Linked DNA regions of Sus scrofa. The protein of the gene in region 1 purifies or fractionates together with the protein of each later gene. This does not show direct contact. Links are inferred from orthologs where the notes say so. Each region holds a gene or a part of one and is shown in the gene's direction. Other genes may lie near its edges. The genes, in order: SLC30A4, KIAA1524, FUT8, METTL9, PDS5B and C2H19orf25.

What was found.
Region 2: the proteins of SLC30A4 (region 1) and KIAA1524 purify together in Homo sapiens (affinity purification with mass spectrometry; 3 studies listed by BioGRID and IntAct, counting the BioPlex papers as one, with this or other methods). This does not show direct contact. The link is inferred for Sus scrofa from reciprocal best matches to the Homo sapiens genes SLC30A4 and CIP2A.
Region 3: the proteins of SLC30A4 (region 1) and FUT8 purify together in Homo sapiens (co-immunoprecipitation; 3 studies listed by BioGRID and IntAct, with this or other methods). This does not show direct contact. The link is inferred for Sus scrofa from reciprocal best matches to the Homo sapiens genes SLC30A4 and FUT8.
Region 4: the proteins of SLC30A4 (region 1) and METTL9 purify together in Homo sapiens (co-immunoprecipitation; 3 studies listed by BioGRID and IntAct, with this or other methods). This does not show direct contact. The link is inferred for Sus scrofa from reciprocal best matches to the Homo sapiens genes SLC30A4 and METTL9.
Region 5: the proteins of SLC30A4 (region 1) and PDS5B purify together in Homo sapiens (affinity purification with mass spectrometry; 3 studies listed by BioGRID and IntAct, counting the BioPlex papers as one, with this or other methods). This does not show direct contact. The link is inferred for Sus scrofa from reciprocal best matches to the Homo sapiens genes SLC30A4 and PDS5B.
Region 6: the proteins of SLC30A4 (region 1) and C2H19orf25 purify together in Homo sapiens (affinity purification with mass spectrometry; 3 studies listed by BioGRID and IntAct, counting the BioPlex papers as one, with this or other methods). This does not show direct contact. The link is inferred for Sus scrofa from reciprocal best matches to the Homo sapiens genes SLC30A4 and C19orf25.

The regions. Positions count from the first base shown.
Region 1 is NC_010443.5:126,254,358-126,257,857, forward strand, and holds part of SLC30A4 (zinc transporter 4), read left to right. Parts: intron 1-3,163; coding exon 3,164-3,317; intron 3,318-3,500. UniProt on the Homo sapiens protein: Probable proton-coupled zinc ion antiporter mediating zinc import from cytoplasm potentially into the endocytic compartment. Controls zinc deposition in milk.
Region 2 is NC_010455.5:150,951,065-150,954,564, forward strand, and holds part of KIAA1524 (protein CIP2A), read left to right. Parts: intron 1-544; coding exon 545-663; intron 664-2,973; coding exon 2,974-3,169; intron 3,170-3,500.
Region 3 is NC_010449.5:89,394,211-89,398,436, forward strand, and holds the start of FUT8 (alpha-(1,6)-fucosyltransferase), read left to right. Parts: upstream 1-1,426; 5' UTR 1,427-1,575; intron 1,576-1,648; exon of another isoform or gene 1,649-2,782; intron 2,783-4,226. UniProt on the Homo sapiens protein: Catalyzes the addition of fucose in alpha 1-6 linkage to the first GlcNAc residue, next to the peptide chains in N-glycans.
Region 4 is NC_010445.4:23,717,354-23,721,348, reverse strand, and holds the start of METTL9 (methyltransferase-like protein 9 precursor), read left to right. Parts: upstream 1-1,195; 5' UTR 1,196-1,379; coding exon 1,380-1,544; intron 1,545-3,995. UniProt on the Homo sapiens protein: Protein-histidine N-methyltransferase that specifically catalyzes 1-methylhistidine (pros-methylhistidine) methylation of target proteins.
Region 5 is NC_010453.5:9,203,194-9,206,693, forward strand, and holds part of PDS5B (sister chromatid cohesion protein PDS5 homolog B), read left to right. Parts: intron 1-1,069; coding exon 1,070-1,202; intron 1,203-1,494; coding exon 1,495-1,614; intron 1,615-1,671; exon of another isoform or gene 1,672-2,583; coding exon 2,584-2,646; intron 2,647-3,225; coding exon 3,226-3,371; intron 3,372-3,500. UniProt on the Homo sapiens protein: Regulator of sister chromatid cohesion in mitosis which may stabilize cohesin complex association with chromatin. May couple sister chromatid cohesion during mitosis to DNA replication.
Region 6 is NC_010444.4:76,997,737-77,001,781, forward strand, and holds the start of C2H19orf25 (UPF0449 protein C19orf25 homolog), read left to right. Parts: upstream 1-1,245; 5' UTR 1,246-1,500; coding exon 1,501-1,630; intron 1,631-3,871; coding exon 3,872-4,045.

The DNA.
Region 1 (3,500 bases):
ACAGGGAATTTTGAAAGAATTTTTTAATTATTGGTTTTAGATTTTCATAAGCAATGACATCTCAATGTCATTAAGTTGCATAGCTGTTACTCTTTATAAAGTGTATTGCTTTATAATTTCATATTTAAAATTTGATTAAGGCATCTTTAAAACTATTGCTAGCTAGCTTCAGCCTTGACGATTAAGCCTTGATGATTAAAATTTTTTTTTAGGAGTTCCCTTCGTGGCGCAGCGGAAACAAATCCGACTAGGAACCATGAGGTTGAGGGTTCAATCCCTGGCCTCGCTCAGTGGGTTAAGGATCCGGCATTGCCGTGAGCTGTGGTGTAGGTCATAGACATGGCTCAGATCTGGCGTTGCTGTGCTGTGGCTGTGGTGTAGGCCAGCAGCTGTAGCTCCGATTAGACCCCTAGCCCGGGAACCTCCGTATGCCGCGGGTGTGGCCCTACAAAGACAAAAAAAAAAAATTATTTTTTAACAGTTTGAGAAGGATTGATATTTTTTAAACATCAATATTAAAGAGAATTAAATTTATCTTTCTTCATGAGTAAAATGAAGAGTCTATCATTAGTATATGAGATTTTCCAGTTCAAAAATTTTTAATTTATGTATTTATTTATATGTGTGTATTTTGCCATCAGTGGTTATAACTTAAGACAAAACCATGTGTTTTTGGTTTATATTTGGCTTAATTCTTCTCTTTTAACCTCTTCCTATTTTGGGGGATTTGGTTAATAATCTATTGTTCACATTTAGCTTAACTTTCTTTAATTATATATATAGCCATTTATCTTCCCTTGCTCAGCCTAACTTCATTCTACAGATTCATCCATAGCTATGTGAGTATATGCAACATGTCAGTCTTTCTGGTGAGTGCTACAGTAAACATGGTGTAGAATCTAATGTGGTCATACTCTCAAGGGGCTTAAGAGTCTGGACTTTGTGTATTTCAGTTTTTTTTTTCTGTTTTCTTCAGTCCTATGTCTCCTTCAAAGTATGATAATTAGTATGTCAGGAATAGATGAATCATGGTTTTGAATAGTAGTTGTGTTTTTTGGTCTTATTCTAACATTTATTTTGTTGATGTTCAGAATTTTATTAGAGTTTTGGCTACATTAACATCTTCAGGAAACAGCTTATTTCTGCTAGATGATTTTTCTGTTATAATTTATGAGCTGGAATAAAAATGTATCAAAGTCCAATATACTTGAATTGCCCCAACCTTTGAGCAATAAGTTGACCCAGATAACAATTTCCCGGACTGTTTTAACTTTTAACACTTAAAGCTTTAATATCTAGTTTCTTTAAAGAAAAAAAATTATCTATTTTCTTGCTGTTATTGTTTTGTCAATACTAGTTTTATATAATAATGTTAATTATTTTAAAATATACTTTACATTGCCCTATTTCTGTTATTTTGAAAAGATATAAAATTATTCTACTTTATACTTGCAAAGTAGAAAATTCACATGATGTAAAAGAATATATAGTGCAAAGTCATTCCTGTGTCCTAGCCACCCATTCTCCTAATAATCAGTTTTTATCAGTATTTTGTATATTCTTCCAGAGTTTGCATGTATAGACCATTATATATTCTCTTACTTCTTTTCTCATAAATGCTAATATACCATGTATATTGTTGTGTGCTTTTCTTTTTTCACATAACACTGTATTTTGGAGATTATTCCATATCATTAACATAAAGAGCCTAATTTTTTATAGCTGCATGGTATTCCATGTTACAAGGCCCCTACTAATCACTTCAGTTGTTTTCAGTTGTTTGCTGTATATACAATGCTTGAGGAATAGCTTCAGAACATACCGCATTTTGTAAATATGCAACTTAATTGGCATGAGTGTGTATATCATTCCTGGAAGAAAAATTTCTGAGTCGAAGTGCATTCATGAATACTTACATGCCTTAAAAAGAATGTGTTTTTCTTTATTCTAAAGGTAAATGAGTTTATAATAAAAACTTAAAACTTTTCAAATATTACCAGAAAGAATAAAGTGAAAAATAAATTTCCTAAACTCTTAGTCTCACTTCCCAGGTATGACACTTTCTTATCTGTCTTTCTTGTGATTAGATTATCAATATGCCTGATTGTTTTTCCTCTTTTAAAAAAATATAAATGACTATATGATATCTCATTATAAGCGCATACCATAATTTAGCCATTAAGTTCCTCATTGGTAGACATTTAGGATGTCTCCAGATCTTTTTTTTTTTCTTTGCTTTTCAGGGCCACACCCACAGCACATGGAATTTCCCAGGCTAGGGGTCGAATTCGAATTATAGCTGCCAACCATAGCCACAGCCATGCCAGATCCAAGCCACATCTGTGACCTACACCACAGCTCATGGCAGTGCCAGATCCTTAACCCACTGAGCAAGGCCAGGGATTGAACCTGCATCCTCATGGATCCTAGTCAGGTTCGTTACCACTGAGCCAGGATGGGCACTCCTCCAGATCTTTTTGGATACCTATAGACAGAGCTACAATGAAAAACCTTATAGATGGCTTTGCATTCATATGGATGTGTTTCTATTGGATTGATTCCTAGAGTTAAGGAATATATGCATTTTAAATTTTTATTAATTTTACAAACTGCTCTCCAAAAATATAGCCTATTTGATACTTCCACCAGTATATCCTTGCTAACTCTGGCTGTTATCAAACTTTTTAATCTTTGCCAATTTAGTAAGGGGCAAGAGAATTCTTATTTGAATTTCTTGTATTATGGTTGATTTCCATAAATTGGTCCTTTCTGCATATTTTCTTTGTATTAGTATTTGTGTCCTCTACCCATTGTTCACTTTTTTATTGGTTTTACACTTACAAATTAGTCTGTGGTCATTCAGGTATGCTACAAATTTTTTTCCTTAGTTTTTCAGGTTTGTTTTTTTTTTTAACCAAGTGTATGGTCTGGAAATATATATAATTTGACCCTAAAGACATAAGGAGAAGGTAGGCAGTGGTGGGGTGAAAGATCCAAATCAAACTACTGAACACTTTTCAAATAAGAAAAATAACATGACAAAAATAACATAGCACTTTTATCTCCTTAGAGGAAAGAAGATATAAATAAGAAATTGTACAGTATTTAGTATGTATGAAATAACCATGCTACAAATATTTTTTTTTTATATTTTTCCCTCCAGAGGTCTTGTCAGCTATGATTAGTGTGCTATTGGTGTATATACTTATGGGATTCCTCCTATATGAAGCTGTCCAAAGAACTATCCATATGAAATATGAAATAAATGGAGATATAATGCTCATTACCGCAGCTGTTGGAGTTGCAGTTAATGTGATGTAAGCTCTATTTTGTTTAAAAAAAATGTTTTTAATGGGCTTTGTAATTTTAACAGGAGATTTAGGTTCATAGCTAAGCTAAGCAGAAGATATAGAGATTTCCTGTACATACCCTACCCCCACACATGCATAGCCTTTCCATTGTCAACATCCCTCACCAGAGTGGCACAGTTATTACAGATG
Region 2 (3,500 bases), on another chromosome or scaffold:
TCAATAATTTTTTTTTTCAGAATAGATGATTTGGGCCTAAGTACTAATGTAAAATACTTACTGACATGAAGGAGTTATACTTTAAGTATAGTTGTTTCATTCACTACATTAAAATTTTTTATTGAATTAATTTGAATTTTACCTTTTTTTAACTTTAATTTGGAAATGACTAGCCATTTTTATAGCCCAATTTTCTTTTAAATGGTAGCTAGAAAAATAAAACAATAATTCAGAACATCAGTCAGTTGTGAATGCTGTTTAATCAAGTATTAAATATTAATTTAATCAAAAATATTTGACATGCATTTAGTAGGCACCAAAAGCATTCAAAAATCTTTGCCAGATTTTTTAAGCTAACATTAATATTGATTTTATAGATAATTGTAATGAAGTAAAGGCTAGTAAATATGTTCAAACATCAGGTAGAAAGACTTTAGAACTTGCCTAGAATTATGTAATGATTTAGATCTGTTTACTCACCTTACTCTAAAAGACCTAACATTATCCTTTCTGCTTTTTATTTTTTGGTTTCTGATTTGCTTAGGATCCTCGCCTGATTACTCCTTTGGCTTTTGCTTTAACATCAGATAATAGAGAACAAGTACAGTCTGGATTGGGAATATTATTGGAAGCTGCTCCACTGCCAGATTTTCCGGCCTTAGTGTGAGTTATAGTCAGTGGCAATGTATCTCTTGTGGTGCTGGAGTGTTTGCTGTGTTTCCCTAATAGTCTTCAGCAGAGAGAGATTGGAAAATCAGTGAATTGAAGACTTCATTGTAATAATAATTTTTCAAGTGAAAAAAAATTTCAATTTAAAAAGTTTGATTCCAACAACTCAAAAGACCACATGTAAAGTCTTTTAGGGAATAGCTAGATCCATCCAAGTGATTAAATATGTTATCCAGATGTTACACCTCTCTGTCTGAACACCTCTCTTATTGTTGTAGCTTCCAGACTAATCGTAATCCTGCCAGTTTAGTTTCTCCATAGAAAGTGCTTTTCTTTCCCAATTGTTTAAGTGATAAGTCTAGTGATAAGTCTAGCATCATTCCCATTGACCAGATCTGGGTCATTTGCCAAGGAAGGGATTCCTAAAGAAAATGTTCTTATTATCTGAAGGTGGAATAAATAATAGTCAAGCAGAATTGTCTGCTATACTCATTTTCAAACATTAAGAAAATATTTGCAGTTAGGTTTGAAAAAAATTCAGATTTGGAGCTCTCTGTAAACTGAAAGGTTGACAAAATGTCTAGTAGTGTTCCGCTCTAATTTTAATAAGATTAGGTGGTTTATATAAATGAAATTGCAAAGGTGGTTTGAATGAATTGAGACAGTTGGTAAGTCAGTAAGACATTTGTTCATGTCAGGTCAGCAAACTCTAGACAGCAGACAGGAGCTTGTTTTTGTAAATAAAATTTTATTGGAACAAAACCATACCCATTCATTTATTTTCTTTTTCTTTTTTTTGAAGGGAGTGTGAATGTGTTTTTTTAATGATTTTTATTTTCTCCATTATAGCTGGTTTACAGTGTTCTGGCAATTTCTACTGTACAGCAAAGTGACCCAGTCATACATATATATGTATTCTTTTTCTCACACTATCCCCATTTCATTTTGTCTGTATTGTGTATGTTTACATTCATGCTACAACATTAGGGCTGGTTAGTCGTAACAAAGACTATGGACCCTCAAGCCTAAAATACTTAACTGCCCTGTCCTTTAAGAAAAAGTTTGCCAATCTTTGCTACTTCTATTAACTGAGCAGACTCATTTAAGTAATCATAAATTAAGGGATGAAGAACTGTGGAAAACATGACCTAGAGACCATGAATTGCAATTCCCTTCATTTTATCATATTTTTTAACAAGCGAATGGACAAATAGTGTGTTTCTCAAAGCAAAATAGGAGTCTGTGAAGCTGTTTCATTTTGTGGTAGCTTGCTTGCATCTACTGTGGAAATCTGACATGAAGCAAAATCCCCAGGTGTCAGAGTGGAAAGCTTCAGCTTTGCTGAAGTGGGAGTCTTATCATGTGTCTCTCTGTCTTTGCCATCCCCTCCCCATCATAACTTGTGTTGTGTTATTTTCTCTTTGCACACTATCTCAGATATCCATTTATGTCTATTATGTCCATTTATGCCTCAGTTTATATTATCCTAGTTTAATAATGTGAATTTATATACTGGATGGGTGGGTAGGTAGGTGCATAGCTAGGTTTATTTTGGAGTTTGTTTTTTAAACATTTAACAAATGTTTAAATAACTGGTGAGTCCCAGCTATGTGCCAGGCTCTCTTCTAGGCATTTTGAATATTGCAGTAAATTAGACAGGCGGCCTTCTGTCATGAGATTTGCATTCTAGTTGAGAGACAGGTTTTTTAAAAAATAAGGTTTATAATGCACTTGTTACTAGGGTTGGAAGGCCCTGAGGAAGTGAATCTAAACTGAGACTTGATGATAAGGATTATGCTATGCAGATTTAGAGGGAAGAGTGTTCTAGGCAAATGAACAACTTGTACAAAGGCCCTGAGGCAGAAACAAGATGGTAAAAATGAAGGTCAGGTTGGTGAGACCATCCTGAGTGAGAAAAGAAAAGGGTGAAAGAAAAGGTCAGACCAAGTGATGTTGCCCATGGTAAGAAAGACACCAATAACTTTGTATTTAATTTTTTTATAAATAATCTACCCTCATAAACTAGTTCTAGTGCCTCCAAACCAGAGGTGGAATTGTCATTGTAAAGGGTTGTTAGTACAAAAGAGTTTCCTCTGGCAAATTTAGGATATTTCCCCAAATCCTGCTTCATCATAGATTCCAAGATTATTTCAGAAATATTTGAAGACTTATATTCCCAAAAAAGACCCATTCTAAATTATGGGTCCCATCATTAGTTAGTCCCTGTACTAACTCTGCCTTTTGCTCTATTTTTATATAATTATTTCTCTCTCTCTTTTTTTTTTGATTTTAATTCCAATTCAGACTTGGAGAAAGTATAGCAGCAAACAATGCCTATAGGCAACAGGAAACAGAACATATGCCCAGAAGAATGCCTTTGCAATCATTAAATCACAGTTTTCCAGCATCAGTAAAATGTTTAACTCCTCCAGTTTTGAAAGATAGAGTTCCTGGATTGAACATTGAGGAATTAATAGAGAAACTTCAGTCTGGAGTTGTGGTGAGTGATAGATAGCCATTATAAATGAGATTCTGCCTGGTACATACCAACTAAATATCAGCCCTTATTATAACATTTATTTAAATAAATTTAGATGCAGATTTGATCACTGAAACTTGATCTTTTAATATCAAAAGTAACAATATTCTGTAAAGTTTGAAAAGAGCAAAAAAATCTATCATAAAATTCCAACATTTTAACATAGCAATCCATCTTCCAAGCCTATGCTCCCACCACCATCGCATGGCCCCCAGCTTAAAAAATATACTTTCAAATTCCCACAGACATGTTAGATCTTACCCAAATCTTCTTGTGCAATAGCCAGGTTAGT
Region 3 (4,226 bases), on another chromosome or scaffold:
AACAGTGTTCTGTCAGAGGCTGAGACACACACTGACTCAACACAATCTGCATTGCTGCAGAATTGGTTTTTGAGTGTATTTTAGAGATATCAAAGTTACTTGATATTTTGATATATATTATACTTCCCTATAAAAGCACACTAAATTCTGGACATTCTTCGGACAGATTTTTTTTTTTTTTTTTTTTTTTTTTAGCAGAAGGAGGAAGAGAATATATTTCAATCCCTAGGTTTTTGGAAAGGAAAAATGAAGGCCACATAAAAAAACCCAGACATTTTGAGGCAAATGTAAAGTAAAGCTTTGAAATTGGACATCTTAAAAGTATTATACAAGGTAAGCTTTTTTTGGGGGGAGGGGGCGGGAGGTGGTGCACCTACAGTGTATGGAAGTTCCCAGACTAGGGGTGGATTAGGAGCTTCAAGCTGCTTCTGCGACACACACCGCAGCTCATGGCAACCCAGGATCCTTAACCCGCTGAGCAGGGCCAGGGATCCAACCCGCATCCCTACAGATACTAGTCGAATTCTTTTCTGCTGAGTCACATGCTTGCTAAAATATTTTATAAAGTGCCTTTTAAACTAAAAACTAAGTATCCATCTCATCTCTATGACTTCTAAAAATTACTTACAGTTTTATAAGACTTTGGCCTTTATTTACTATGGCATAAGCCCCAAATTTTTGTTCATTTCCAAGAACTAAACTTTGTGGCCCTTATTGCAGAATTTTGTTGACTTTATAAGCTTAGTGCAGAAAACTCCTCCGTGGAGGATAGCAACCATGCATTCGATAAATGACTGTTATAAATGATTGCACCCAAACTCTGAGGTGGTTTTGTGTGACCTTGGATAAGTCACTCTACTTTTCTCTCAAATTTCTTTTCTTACAGGGAGTTAATCATAGGAATGGCCATAAACGCCTACTTCGAGGGCGCTTTTCCTTTAAAGGGTTGATGATAAATACCAGTCACAAGGTCCAGCAGAAGAGACAGCTTCTTGAGGACAGGGAACTTTTTTCCTTCTTTGAATCAGCAGTATCTTATTGTACTTCTGTAATACAGTTCCTGGCCCATAAAGAGGTGTCAGTAAATATTGTAAATTTATGAACGTTATTAGGCAGATTGCAGTTTTGGCAGGCCACTGTTCTTAAATCTCTTTTCAGTGATCCTTTCATAGTCGGCATCCAAAGGGCCTTCGCTCTTTGCTCTGTGATATGTACTTAAGGCATTTACTTAAAAATACTCAAGTCTAAACAAATAATTCTTCTGTCTTTAGGGCACCATTTCACTTTCCCGAGGTATAGCACCCTAGGCTTGGGATCTGGGTCCGGAGGCTACAAGGAAGAGTTCGGTACGGGAAGCTCATCCTCCTGCCCTATGATTGGTCGGCTCCCACTCCACTCACGCGGCTCTCGTCTCTGATTGGCCATTGTGGCACCCCCTTTCAGCCCGCGACTACTTTGTGTGCCCCGGCGGCGCGAAGGTCCTCCGGCTCAGCTTGCCATTTGGGCTGGTCTGGGCTAGCTCTTCGGCCCACTGCTTTGCATCGCGGGCGCCAGGAATTTCCCGAGTCCGAGCGGGTAGGAAGCATCCTAGGGAAAAGCTCCCTCCCCCGCCCCATGTTCTCTTTCCCGTAACTTCCGCCTCAGAGGGGCTGTCGCAGCCGCCGGTGGGGGGGAGAGGCCAGGCACTGAACTCAGCCCTTAAGGGGGGGGCGCTGTTTTTCAGCCGGGCGAGTGTGGAAACACAGCTCTCATAGGATAAAACAGGGCTTCACTAGTCGAATGCGGGTACGATGCTATTCTAAGATCATGCTGCACGCTGCAGTGGAGCGGCCAGACCTGGGCTGCAGGCATGGGCTGAGCAGCAGCAATCACTCCTAAAAAGTAGCAAGCAGACTGCTCCTGATACCAGTGCTCTTTAGGGCCGCGGGCTGAATTGGCACGGGCTGGTCCTTTCCCCAGCGGTCGAGAATACGGCATTGCCGGAGGTGGAGCTTCAGGGAATGGAGAGTCCGGCTCCACTCGCGCCCCCTTCAGCCTCCGGCCTTCGGGCGGTAGAGGGCGGCCTACGCTTGTGTGGGAGCCAGCGCCTGAGCGCGCAGCCGCTGCCCGGCTGGATGTCTCCGGGTCCCGCTGTGGCTCAGGGCTCAGCTGGGTGGTGGATGCTGCGGTTACGCGACCAGAAGGGGGCGGGGAGAAGCCCTGGCACATGCTGGGGTCGCCGTAGGTGGCAGCGGCCGGCGCATGCGCGCCTCCTCCCAGAAGCCTGGAACGCTGAGGGGCGCGCGCCCCCATTCGCGCGCGCACGCTTGCGCTAGCTGAAGCTTCCCTTCCTGCGCTCCTTGTCAGAGCGGCTCTGGCGCGTGCGCGTGTTATCTCTGGACAACCAGAGTAGCCAGGTTCCCTCCGCTCCAGGCCCCCGCCCCCCGCCGCCCTCTCCCAGCCCCCGACCGACCCGTCCCCTTATTCTCTTCCCGGAATGGGGCCGGCGCTGCTCTGGGTCGCGCGCCCGGGACCCGGTTCGCTCTCGGTCTTTCGCTGTCAGCTACTGCCTGGCTCGCGCCGCCTCGCGCTCTCCCTCAGTCAGTGGCGCCGAAGGCTCCGTTAAGCAGTGGCAGCGGCGGTTCCTGTTTCCGTTTCTTCCTCTCCCTTCAGTAGGGAGTAGCATCCTCCACCCAGCCACCCCTCCCACTCCCCCAGCTCTGGGCAGCTGCGGCTGAGGGCTGTGGCGGCGGCGGCGGCGGCGACTGGGAAACGGCGGAGACCGCCTCTGCTCCCGCCTCGGGTAAGGGGGCGTTTGGGAGCCGGGCCCCGAGCTACTCGGGGTCTGGGGCTGGGCAAGCGCGGGATCTCGGGAGGCTCGGGGAGGTGCCTCTCCCCGCTGTCGCTGCCCCTTTCCCCCCAGGCGACCCCCAGGCCTGTTGCCGCCACTGCTGCTGCTTATCCAGCGGTTCCTGGAAAAGTGGGGAGGGAGCCCCCGGGACGCTCTGGGGGGTCCCTTTGCCGGCCCAGGGGTGGGTGCGGGCTGGGGACTAGGGGTGCCCGCCGCCCGGGTCGGGACTTGGAGCGGCACGGCCGCTGCCCTCTGTGTCGCGCATCCTTGGTTAGGGTAGGAGCCAGAGCGGAGGAGAGAAGAGATGGGGGCGGGGGTGGGAGGTGTCCGTCTTCTCTCCACACCTACCTGCCCTTTCTCCTGCAAGTCGCTTCCTGTAGTCACAGACTGTGGGGAGGAGCATGTTTGTGCGTTAGGGGCTTTCTGAGGGGTTCTCCGGCTGGAAATGGGGGAGTGGACCCGGGCAAAGATCCGCTCCCGGCGAGGGGCCGGTGCCAGGGCAGTTCACGGTGTGAGTGCCGCTGCACCCTCATTTGATGTGGAAATGATGAGCTGGCGGCTTTTGAGTATCTAAACTTATTTAGGTTAAATGAGTCCATATTTATTTGTTAAAGGAGGTTTGTCCTGCCCGAGTGAGTGGGCTGACGAGTGCAGTACCTGTTTTTCACTCACAGTGGGGATTTGCAATCTTCAACACACAGAATGCCAGAGACGCAGTGTATTTCTTAAGTTAAATGGCAGTGTCATGGTTAGAGTTTATCCCCGGTGAGCTTTAGCGTTTTGGTGTATATTGGAGTTCTGACTGAGGCCTTGGGTAGAGGCAGGGGAGGTATTGTTTCTTCTTCCCATGTTTGAATTACAGTTGACTTAAGCCACCTCAAAGTGGACCTGGGAAAGCCAGGATCTCCTGTATAAACCCCAGATCTCAAGGTAACACCAACCAAATTTCGACAAAAGTTTTCCATCAGTTTACAGTTAAATTCATCACAAGTAACTGATTGAACTTTGGCTTGGCTCTCCTTAAAAACTGCAGGCAAGGTTTAATTACAGTTTTTCTCCCCCTTGTTATTCTTGGGCTTAAAGATGTATTTATTTTCTTGATTAAATTTGCTTTTATGCATAGTTCTTTAAAGGGTGCATCATACAGAAAACATTTAGGAGAGAAAATTTCAGCACTGTAGAGTTATTATTGAAATAATGGAGTAAATTATGTTCCTTCTTTTTAAAAATAAAGTTAACCTAAAATCCTAGGCTGTATAATAAGGCTCTGTACATTGCTAGCCTTGTGATATGTACCACAAAAAGTGTATAGAAAGTCTTAATTACTTGATTTATAAACACTACAGTAAAGTAGTAAGGATGAGATGGGAATTCAGACATTTGGAACTATGATTTT
Region 4 (3,995 bases), on another chromosome or scaffold:
CTGAGTCTCAGAAGCCAATAAAAATGTCTGTGGGTAAGGGACAGTTTTTTCCCTCATCAGTGGATCACCACAGCCACTGTTAAAAGACAATCTCTGAAGTTCACTAATGGAGTTACCAGAAAGGTCTATTGCTTTTGTTTGAACGAAGATAAAGTGTATTTACATGATTTCTAGTGCAGTTAAATTAAAAGCATTTTCTAAACGAACCTAGAAAGGTGTTAAAGCGAGAGGGCCCATGAAATAGGTCACTCACTTGTAGCTTAGGTGGCAGCAGGAAGAACTTCAGACACAGGAACACAGTGTAACCCTTCAGTTTTGAAACGTTGCTAGGTCTTCCCGTGCTATAAATGATCAAAGAAACATCTGGGTAAATATTGCTCCTAAAGCTTAGCTGGCTTTAAGGAGTGTTGGGTCTGACTTCCGTTAGTTCAAGGAAACAAGCATCCAGGGACTCTTAATTTGGGGTCTTCGTTCTTGGACAGAGTCATTAACACACCAAAATATTACGTGCAGGTGTCCCAGCTGCAGGAACTTCCAACAAAGGCAGAGCTTTCGCTGATGCCTCTTAGGAACAGTAGCCAGCAACTTGCCAGGCCTGGGGGACTGGGCGGGGAGGTGGTGAAGGGTTGGAGGTAGCCCTTCCCCTCTAGATGCCCATTCGCTTGGCAGGGTGGAGATCCTGGGGGTGGGGGCCTGGCTGGTCGGCTCTAAATGTAAATAGGAAGCCACGCAACTGAGCCAGAAATAGTTACGAACTGACAGTCTCCGTCTCTGGCGAATACTTGGTCCGAGTGTCTGAATATACGAAAGGGAGGAGGCTCGCCGCCTGGGTCAATCTGCACAACCAGGTGAAAGACCCGCAGGGGGCTGGATGAGGGGCTCAGAGCAAAGACTCAGGGGAGGAAAGGCCAGAAGAACTACGGACACTACCTTGGAGGGATGGGGAGGCCTCAGTTACCGCCTTTGGAAACGATCTCCCCTGGCCTAAACATATTAAAACCGTTTCCGCCATTACAAGCCGACACCAGACGGGAGGCGGGAGCGCGCTCCCTTTGTCCCGCCTCCCGGGCGGACAGCCCATGGGGCGGAGGGAGCGTGCTCCGGAGGGGGCGCGCCGCAGCAGCGCGTACGTGGTCCGTGTGGAAACTGGCGCCCGCGGCGGCGGCGTTCCGCGGGCGGAGAGGAAGGGGGAGGCGAGAAGGCTGCGCACCGCCCGCTCTTCCCCACCCCCGCCCCCCGCCTCGGCCCTAAAAGGGGCTGGATGGGCAAGTTGGGCGCGATGGCTCGAGCCCGGGCAGCGGCAGCTGCGGCTGGAGGCGGCGGCACGTCCTCCTCGCCCCGGCGCCGGCGGTGATCGGAGCGAGCGGCCGCGGCCCCCGATGAGACTGTTCGTGGGCTGGCTGTGCCTGAGCCTGGCGTCCGTGTGGCTGGCGAGGAGGATGTGGACGCTGCGGAGCCCTCTCACCCGCTCCCTGTACGTGAACATGACGAGCGGCCCGGGCGGGCCGGCGGCGGCCGCGGGTGGCAGGAAGGACAACCACCAGGTACGCGGCCGAACCCGGGCCCGGCGGGGCGGGGGCGTGGCGGCCGGCCTTCCCGCGCTCGGCCGGGCTATTGTGCCGGGCGTCGTGGCGAAGGGGCCCCCGGGCCTCGCCCCAGCGCCCCACAAAGTTTCCCCCGCGTCTTCCCCGCCGGACGCCGGGTCCAGGCCCAGCGGTGCCTTTTGTTCCGCGGCGCGGCGGACGACGGCCTCCCGGGTCCCTCCCCCGCCCAGGCATGGGCGCCCCGGAACCCCACATTGTTCCCGGGTCCCGGGCAGTGATTGCAGGCGCTCGGCCACCTCGGCGTCGGCTCCCCGGAGCGGGACCGAGGAACTTTCGGGCCAGCGCGTGGTGACGGGGACCCACCTGGCACCGGGGCCTGAGATCTAAATAACCGGATCAAACCCATTACCCCGGACGGCCTTCATTACCCCTGAGAATCCAACCGAAAAGCCGGTCCCTCTTTTTGTCTGGTTGAATCTCTGAACGTACAAAGGGTCATAAAGAAATGTAACCGTGCGTCGTGAGCCATTTAACTCTCTGGCTCCTTCGGGTGACATTTTCCCTCTGCCTTTAAAAAAATGCGTTTGACAGGTCGTCGTCACTCTTGTCCTATGGAACCTTCCCTAAGGGAGATCTCCTTTAAACTTGGGTGTTGGTGTCTGACTGGCGAGATGCGATAGGAACGAAGATGGTGCGAGCATTTACTAGAAGGGTTTTGTTAAAAGAGAACTGGGCAAGAGTGTTTTTGTTTTTTGTTTTTTTTTAATGAGTTATGGTTCTGGATCGTGGAATGATGCGATGTGGCCGGCTGGGTAGTCTTCATTAGCTTAGGTTTGTGCCACTGAAGCCTGTGGAGGTCCTATCTGACCATAATGTCGTTTGCGGTTAACATTTCATTCATTGAAAAGAGGCTTTTGAACTCTGCCAGAGTGTTGGCATATCATAGCCAACATTTATAGTACATGTTGGCTTCTCAGAGAGCAGTAGCTAATTATTCCATCTTGTGTCTCATCATTTTCATAGCTTTCTCGTTTTCCTGTGTTACTTTTCTTAATATACCAGGTGTTCAGAGAGCAACACCCAGGTTGTTTTGATGTGTTTTCATGAAACTAGAGAATGATCTTAGGAGACAGAGCAATTCATTCAGAAAAATAGTATCTAGTTTTTATTTATTAAATATTTATGGTGGCTCTTTTTCTATTTTTAAAGGAAAACATACTTTTTTTTTCTTCTTCTTTTGTAATCCCACAGCTCTTGTACTTTGTTAGGTAATCACTCCTATGATATTGTTCGGAGTGTCCTTAAAGTTAGTAGGTGATCTTAACTTGTAAAACCACATTCTTGGCTATAGAGTAATTAGTCATTTTTAGAGTTGGGCTATACTGACACTGTAGTTAACCAAAATGTCCCATATCCATAAGGAACATGGATAATGGTGTAAAATAATAAATAGAAATGTCATTTCCAACAGTCGATGGACCTAAGGTTCTGGGTAGGATGAAAAGAAGACCTTTCCATTGATATGGAATTACGGTCAAATCTTTTGGCTGTAGGCGTTTATTACAACACTTGTGATTATCTCTATTGCAGTACACCTGATACTTTCAGTGCTCAAAAAAGAAATGGACTAATTTAAAAACTGAGAAACTAAGGAACCTGATTTTTGTGGATCCTAGGTAGAATTATAGCTGTTGACATAGCCTCAGAATATCCTCTAACAGATGATACTTTTTTTGTTTGTTTTTAAAGTTTTACTGAAGTATAGTTGATTTACAAGGTAGTGATAATTTCTGCTATACAACAGAATGATTCAGTTATACATATACACACATCCATTCTGTTTCAGATTCTTTTTCCACATAGGTGATCACAGAATATTGGGTAGAGTTCCCTATGCTATACAGCAGGTCCCTGTCGGCCAATCATTCCGTGTACCTCAGTACATGGAATATGTATATGGCATTGGCATGTAATTGGCATATGCCAGTCCCCCACCCCCAGTCCATCCCTCCTTTCCCACTACTTGTCCCCTTTGGTAACCATTAGTTTTTCAAAGTCTGTGACTCTTTCGCAAATAAGTTCATTTGTATCTTTTTGTTTTGTTTTGTTTTGTTTTTTAGGTTCCGCATATAAGTGATATCATCTGATGTTTGTAGAGGATACTTTGTAATTGTGTATCTTTTTAAAGCGGAATCTGTCAGCTTCTAAGGAATACTAATACTGCTTGCAGATACCTCATTTACTTCCTTATGCTTCTAAGATATTCAAATGTGTGTATGTTTTAACCAGTTGCACTTCATTATTTAGCAGCTAATTTCTCCAAAGTGAAAACTAATCTGGTGCTTTCTGAATATTGGGAGGTGGTGGGGGACATTGGCCTTTTTCCTTCGAATAATCAACCCAGACATTGTTTTGCGTTGATATGTTCACATTATGGCAGTGTTGTCCATG
Region 5 (3,500 bases), on another chromosome or scaffold:
GCTTGGATGTGGAATAGGGGAATATAACATTTTTTAGAGAGGTCCTTATAAGACCAGCAGAGTTCTTTAAGAATGAGACCCTGTTTCTGTTTCAATGAAGGATGAACTTTGTGGCCAGAGTTAAACATTTGAGATGCTTTAAGAGAATAAAATTAAATTACTGATAACTTTCTCATGACAAGAGAAAGGCTTTTACCTTCTTTTTGCCACGGTTTCTATTTTTAAAAAATAAGCAGTTAATTTTCCCAAAATGAATTCTCTGTTGAGTGATTATATCAAAGAAAAGCTTTCTGCTACCCCTCTTTCTCAGAGAACACTGGTTTTTAAAATAGATGAAATATTCTTTGGAATTTACTAGACATTTTTGGCTAGATTTGTACATTGCCCTACTCCAGCCAAGAGTGATCTCCATTCTATCAGAGAACCACTCCAGAAAAACAGCCTCTGCCTGAGGTCTCAAAGGTTATTTTTCCCCCTTCTAGAATAATACATTGTTTCACATTTCCCTTTCCTCTCCATTTTCTCTTCTGTGATATCACTCTGTCCCATTCTATTTATATAATAGTGACAAAGCACTTTAGTTTTTCCAGGTTTAATGTAATTAACTTTAAAACTAAAATATTGAAACTTTATTCTTTTTTCCCCGTTTTAAGCAAAAACAGTATGTAGAGTTGTTCCCTCTAATTTATTGATGAAGATTCTTAACTACTGAGTAAGGAGTTTAGATTTTCTTGATGACTTCCATTCAGGACTACAGTCAGGCTTGAATATCTGAGGCTTCACTTTGTCTGTGCCTTAGTTATTCCTTTAGGCAGGCCTCCCTTCATTCTCTCTACCATTTCTGTTTCTTTTTAACCTGCCTTCTTAGTAAAATTAGTGAAACTTTGAGAGGGGGTCTTATGAACTCATACCCACATTGCTGATATGTATGTGACATACCCCTTTTTCTCTATCGATTTATGGCTATTTGCTTTTAATTTTTTCTGCTCCTGGAGTTCATTATTATATTTTAAATCATTTTATCTGTATTTAATAATGAATTTTTTCTTTCTTCTGGTATTTTTTTTAGATGTCTTTGGTTTGTTCTGGAAATATTAATGGCTAAAAATGAAAATAACAGTCATGCATTTATCAGAAAGATGGTAGAAAATATTAAACAAACAAAAGATGCTCAAGGACCAGATGATGCAAAAATGAATGAAGTATGTAATTTTTTGTCAATAATTATGATTCCATGTCAGTTTTAAACATTGAAGTATAGGGTATGAAACTTCTATGGACGACATCATTCTTTTCTATTAGTAGTAAAAAGTGCATGGTGTTTGTATCAGTAGTAATTAGACTTACTAATATAGAATTACTATAAAATTAGTAGCAATGCTGTTACTAGTAACTAATAATAATAACAGATTAAGCATGTTCCAGAATTACTCCTAATTCACAGAGTCTGGGATGCCAACTTAAGTACCTAAATTTTTTTTAATACCATTGCAGAAACTGTATACTGTGTGTGATGTTGCCATGAATATCATCATGTCAAAAAGCACCACATATAGTTTGGAATCTCCTAAAGACCCAGTACTGCCAGCTCGTTTTTTCACCCAACCTGACAAGGTAGTTTTTTAAGAATTTGTTTGTGTAAGTTGAAATAAAACGTGTTCTCACCCCTAGGTTGTGGGAAGATCAGGAAGGATCAGTATCAAGAGTTGGCCCACTCCTAATGTCATGGAAAGGTCGCGGTGAATCTTAACAGTGTGGTTCAAGACCAGCATAGGGGCCAAACTGGAGGACACAGATAAGCTTCAGAGTTGAATTGGGATGCTCTAGAGTTTGTGTTGCAAGTTTTATGTCAGTCTAAGAGCACAGGCAAAAGTGTGATTAAAGCCTGTAAATATTGGTTAGTGGCCATTGATCTAAAAAGGGAAGGAGAATGCTGGTGTGATTTGAAGTTAATAGGTTCTTGATGGAGATTTGTAACTGGTAGGAGGAAGCAAGCAGAGAACTAGTGCTGGAACAGTCGCAAGACCCTGGAAACACTTCAGGAATGTTCCCAAACCACTCTTGGAAAACTCAAGTATTGTATGATACCAAAAAATGTCTTTTAGAATAGAGATTCATAGTGCATCTAAGCCTATTAAGGGACTGAGAGTAACGAAACAGTCACTACTTACCAGTGCTTACAAATCGGAATGGGCCAGTTAGGTTCACCCAATAAAAGAGACTGTCTGCTTCTGAGCATTCACCTTTCTGTGATGAAGGTAACAGGAGTATATGTGTCCTGTTCCCTGGAGAGCATTATTATAGAAGCATTTGTTTGCTGATATATTCTTGGAACTCTAGTGTGTTAGAGCTCAGATGTGTTGTATTTATACTAGAGTTAGTATGAGGTTAGTTCACACTTATTATAGCATTTAAAATCACCGACTGAAATTTTGTGTTGCAACTGATTTTTTAGTTTAAATAAATATGTATTTTATAACATACTTTAAAACAAAAGCTGCTCTGTGCTTTGTTAGCTTGAATCACCTGATAGAGACAGTGTTTCAGTATTCCTTGACTATGTCTTTTTTCCCTTGCTCGTAGAACTTCAGTAACACCAAAAATTATCTGCCTCCAGAAATGAAATCGTTTTTTACTCCTGGAAAAGTATGTTTTGAAAATTGTTTTAATTTTTATGTGGTAGTTTTTTTTAGTGTGGCTGTTAACATAATGATATTGTTTTGCATTTCTTTAAAAATTGGTGTGTCAAAAGAAAATAGAAGTATTAGATATCCTCCATTTACTAAGAAGAAATATTTTCTATATAGATGCAAACTGAGATACAGAACTTACTTTTTACCTTACAATAAAACCCTGGAGACCGTGATTCTTAAATATCCTGTAATATTAAGATAAAAATATTAAAGTAAAAATACCTTATGTCCTTCCTTTGTAGCAAGAGTCTGTGATTACCAGTTTTCATTGTTGACTGTGCATTTTATTTGTCCTTACTTTCTATGTAAACCTTTTCCTGCACATAACTAAGAAACTTAACTGTTACTCTGTTTATATAGTTTATTTGTTCAGGTGATATTCAATCTATAATCCTTATTTTGCTTAAGAGTAGGCAGATTTTTCATGGATTTGTATATGTAAATTCTTTGACAGATGTTATTTATGATTCTTTGTATCTAAATTTCTTTTGGTTCTAATCAAATAGAAAGAGATATGCATTTTTCATTTCAGCCTAAAACAACCAATGTTCTAGGAGCTGTTAATAAGCCGCTTTCATCAGCAGGCAAACAATCTCAGACAAAATCATCACGAATGGAAACTGTAAGCAATGCAAGCAGCAGCTCAAATCCAAGCTCTCCTGGAAGAATAAAAGGGAGGTGAGTACATAAGAAATATTATACTTTATATTTAAGGATTACACCAAAGCTCTGATCTCTAAAGTAACGTAACTCAAAACATTTCATGTCAGTGAATAAAAATCGATGCCTACCTGAACATTCTGGTTT
Region 6 (4,045 bases), on another chromosome or scaffold:
CCACCCAGCTCTGCCCAGCTCTGGAGTTAGGCCTGAAGTGGTGTCTGGCTCTGCAAATCCAGGCTGCGTGTCCAGAGGCACCTGGCTGCCTTCTCAGAGCCTCCGTAGCCATCCTGTGCAGCAGCATGAAGTCTGGCACCTGCCTCACCAAATACTCTTGAGGGTCAAGAGGTAATTTTCCCACCTGGCACACAGTAAATGCCCAAAACATGCCAGCTTGGGGCAGTCACTTTGGGAAATAGGTCCATAGTCAGTTAAACATAGAGTTACCATATGACCTAACAGTTCTGCTCCTAAGTATGTACCCAAGAAAACTAAAGACACATTCACACAACACTTGTAAGAATGTTCACAGCAGCATGATTCACAGCAGACAAAATATGGAAACAACATTGTTGGATGATGGGCAAACATTATATGGTCCCTTCATGCACAGGAGCATCCCTCAGTCATGAAAGAGAGAGAAGCACCGACACTGGCTGCCATGTGAACGGACCTTGAGACCACGATGCTCAGAGAAAGGCACACTTGTGTGATTCCATGAATGTGATACGCCAAGAACAGACAAATTCATAAACATAGTGGATTGTTAAGGGATGGGGTGATGAGGATGAGGGAATGTTCTGGCTTTAGACTGCGGTGATGGTTGCACAACTTCTCTGTCTTTCTGTCTGTCTCTCTCCTATATATATTCCAAAACCATTGAATTGTACACTTTAAGCAGGTGGACTTTATAGTATGTAAATTATATAAAGCTGTTTAAAAACGCCCTCCTTGGGCTCTGTGGTGGTCTTCAGTCCTAGCCAAGAGGCGGGGGCCAAGATCACCCTCCAGAGCTACGGCCCCACCCAGGTAGGGAGGGGGTTTTAGACAAGGGAGAGGCAACCTTGAGAGGGATCCCGGAGGTTGGCCACCTCGCTGGGAACTGGTGGCCCGCTACGTGGTGAGAGACTGCACCGTAAATTTGTTGCTACGACAGCCACGTAGATTGAGGACTGCGTCTCCCTTTTGCAAAAAACCGGGCTTCAGATGCTTTGTTAGGCAGAGAGAAGAGCCGGGAACAGGACCCTGCGCCCACCCCTCGGGGGAGAGGCTGAAGTCTCATCCTTTCTGGTTCTGGTCCAATCGTTTCTTCGATCGCACCAGAACCCTGGAGGGAGCGGCCTCTTTAAGGGGGCGTGGCTTTCACGAGCCGGGGAGGATCCGGCCGGAAGCGTGTGTCTCTTGCGAGTAGGGTGGGACTGTACCGTGACCGGAAGCGGAAATGGTCGGTCGGCCGCGGAGGCGGTGCAGGTGAGTTGGCGCTGGCGGCAGCAGCCTCAGCGGGAAACTGAGGCTTGAGTGAAGGGGAACGCTGAAGCCCCTGGCTCCGTGTTGTTCAGCCCTTGGGAGGATCAGGGCAGGAAGGGCTTCGCCAGGAGCGGGGAACTGGAGCGTGTGTAGAAATTCGTTGGGCGCGAGGAACAACCCCGTCAACACTTCCTTCTCCGGTCTACCGGGATGAGCTCCAAGACCAAGAAGCGCGTGGTGCTGCCCACCCGCCCGGCGCCCCCTACAGTGGAGCAGATCTTGGAGGACGTGCGGGGGGCCCCTGCCGAGGACCCCGTCTTCACCGCTCTGGCTCCTGAAGGTAGGGGAGAGGCGACCCCGAGAGGCCAGCAGGAAGGGGTGGGGAAAAGTACCTGGCTGCTTTTAAGACAGAAGGGCAGAGTTCAGTATTCAGGACAGAAATTATCTAGCCCTGAAATGCCAAAAATACTTGCATCTGGCCTTTTGCAGAAAAAGTGTGTCCGCCCCTGTTCAGAAGATGGAAGCAGATCCGTGACTTCAGGGTTGGGCATACAGTTGTAGGGTGAATTTTGTGTTCTGCTCTATGAGGTTCATTATTCATTCAACAAACTTTCATTGAGGAGTGACCCCTCGTGGTTCAGCGGTTAACGAACCCAACTAGGATCCATGAGGATGCCGGTTTGATCCTTGGCCTCGTTCAGTGGATTAAGGATCCGGCGTTGCTGTGAGTTGCAGTGTAGGTCGCAGACGCAGCTCGGATCCTGTGTTGCTGTGGCTGTGAGGTAGGAGGGCAGCTGCAGCTCAGATTTGACCCTTAACCTGGGGACTTCCATATGACACGAGTGAGGCCCTTAAAAAAAAAAAAAAAAGCAAAGAAACAAACCTTCATTGAGACCGTATTATGGGCCGGAATCTGTTCTAAGCACTGAGGTGGAAAAACGAACAAAAAGATTAAAGTGTCTGCCTTGCTCCATTCTAGTGGGTATTGACATTCAGTATAAGGCTTGTGGGACTCTAGAAGATGAGAATAGGAGTTCTCGCTGTGGCACAGTGGGATAGGCAGTGTCTCTGCAGTGCCAAGACTCAAGTTTGATCCCTGGCCCAGCACAGCGGGTTAAAGGATTCTGCGTTGCCACAGCTAGGACATAGTAGCATCTGCAGCCTGGATCTGATCCCTGACCTGGGAACTTCCATATGCTACTGGTGTAGCCATTAAAAAAAAGAAAAAAATTCAGTTCTTTGTTACACGTGGCCACATTTCAAGTGCTCAGCAGCCCGCTTGTGCCAGCTGCTGCATTGGATAGCTACATTGGAGGATATTTCCATCACCTGGAATGTTGCGATTGAGAGGCCAGCCCAAGCAACAGGAGCCATGTTTATCCCTGGCTCACAGTTGGGTCATCGGAGGCTGCTTGAATCCCAGCCTTATGAATCACGGGTCCAGGAGTTCACGTCATGGCTCAGCGGTAACAAAGCTGACTAGCATCCATGAGGGTTCGGGTTCGATCCATGGCCTCACTCAGTGGATTAAGGATCCAGCATTGCTGTGATCTGTCCTGTAGGTTGCAGACATGGATGGTTTGGATCCTGTGTTGCTGTGGCTATGGCATAGGTTGACGGCTGCAGCTGCAATTCGACCCCTAGCCTGGGAACTTCCATATGCCACGAGTGCTGCCCTAAAAAAGCAAAAAAAAAAAAAAGGAAAGAAAAAAAAAAGAAATCATGGGTCCAGGTTCCCAGCATCCAGAGGTTGAGGGCATGAGGAATGGGCAGTGCCAGGGCTCACTCTAGGGAGAGGGGGCTTCTCTGCTGGCCTGTGTTCCTGTCAAGGACCATCCTTGGCCTCCATGTGCACTGTCTGGCCTGTCCTACCTTGTTACTAAAGCAGGTGATAAAGTGATTTATTTTTACTTTTTTTAGGGCTGCACCTTTAGCAAATGGACATTCCTGGGTTAGGGATTATATTGGAGTTTGCAGCTGCTGGCCTAGGCCACAGCCACAGTAATGTGGGATCTGAGCAGCATCTGCGACCTACACCACAGCTCACAGCAACGCCGGATCCTTAACCCACTGAGCAAGGCCAGGGATTGAACCCACACCCTCATGGATACTAGTTGGGCTCATTACTGCTATGCCACAATGGGAACTCTAATAAAGTGATTTTTAATCAAATTGCTGTTTCTGGGCCTGTTTATAGACAAGGGGACCAGGCAGAGCAGAGAGGACCTTGACATGTCTCCAAGTGGCCCTGAAATCTGTGCTTTTTTGTGCTCACTGCTCCTCCCCTGGCACACCCTTTAGGAAGCAGAGTCATTGGGAAATATATGTCTGTTCCCTCTTTGCCACCTCCCGACCCCCTGAGTGTCACACACAGCCACGGAGAGCACAGATGAGAGCCAGTCTGCTGTCAGCTTCAGGGTTACCAGAAGCTGGATAGAGCTCACCCCTAGGCAGGGCCGTGGGATGGTGAAGTCAGGCCTCCTCTGTGACTTGTCCCCTCCAGTTCATTGCTTTCTTTGGGGGGTGAATTGGGTCCTCTCTGTGACCTGGGGGCAGTGATGCTGCCTTGTCCTGTCCCCAGATTCCCCAGGCCCCTCTTGGAGGGCTGAAGATGCTGAGGCCCAGCGAGAGCAGCTCTACCAGCAGAGTCGGGACTACGTGGCCACAAACCAGAGGCTGCGTCAGGCGGGGGCCCAGCTGAAGCAGAAGTGTGAGGGGCTGCGGCAAGCCGGCGAGGACCTGGAACTGGATGTCA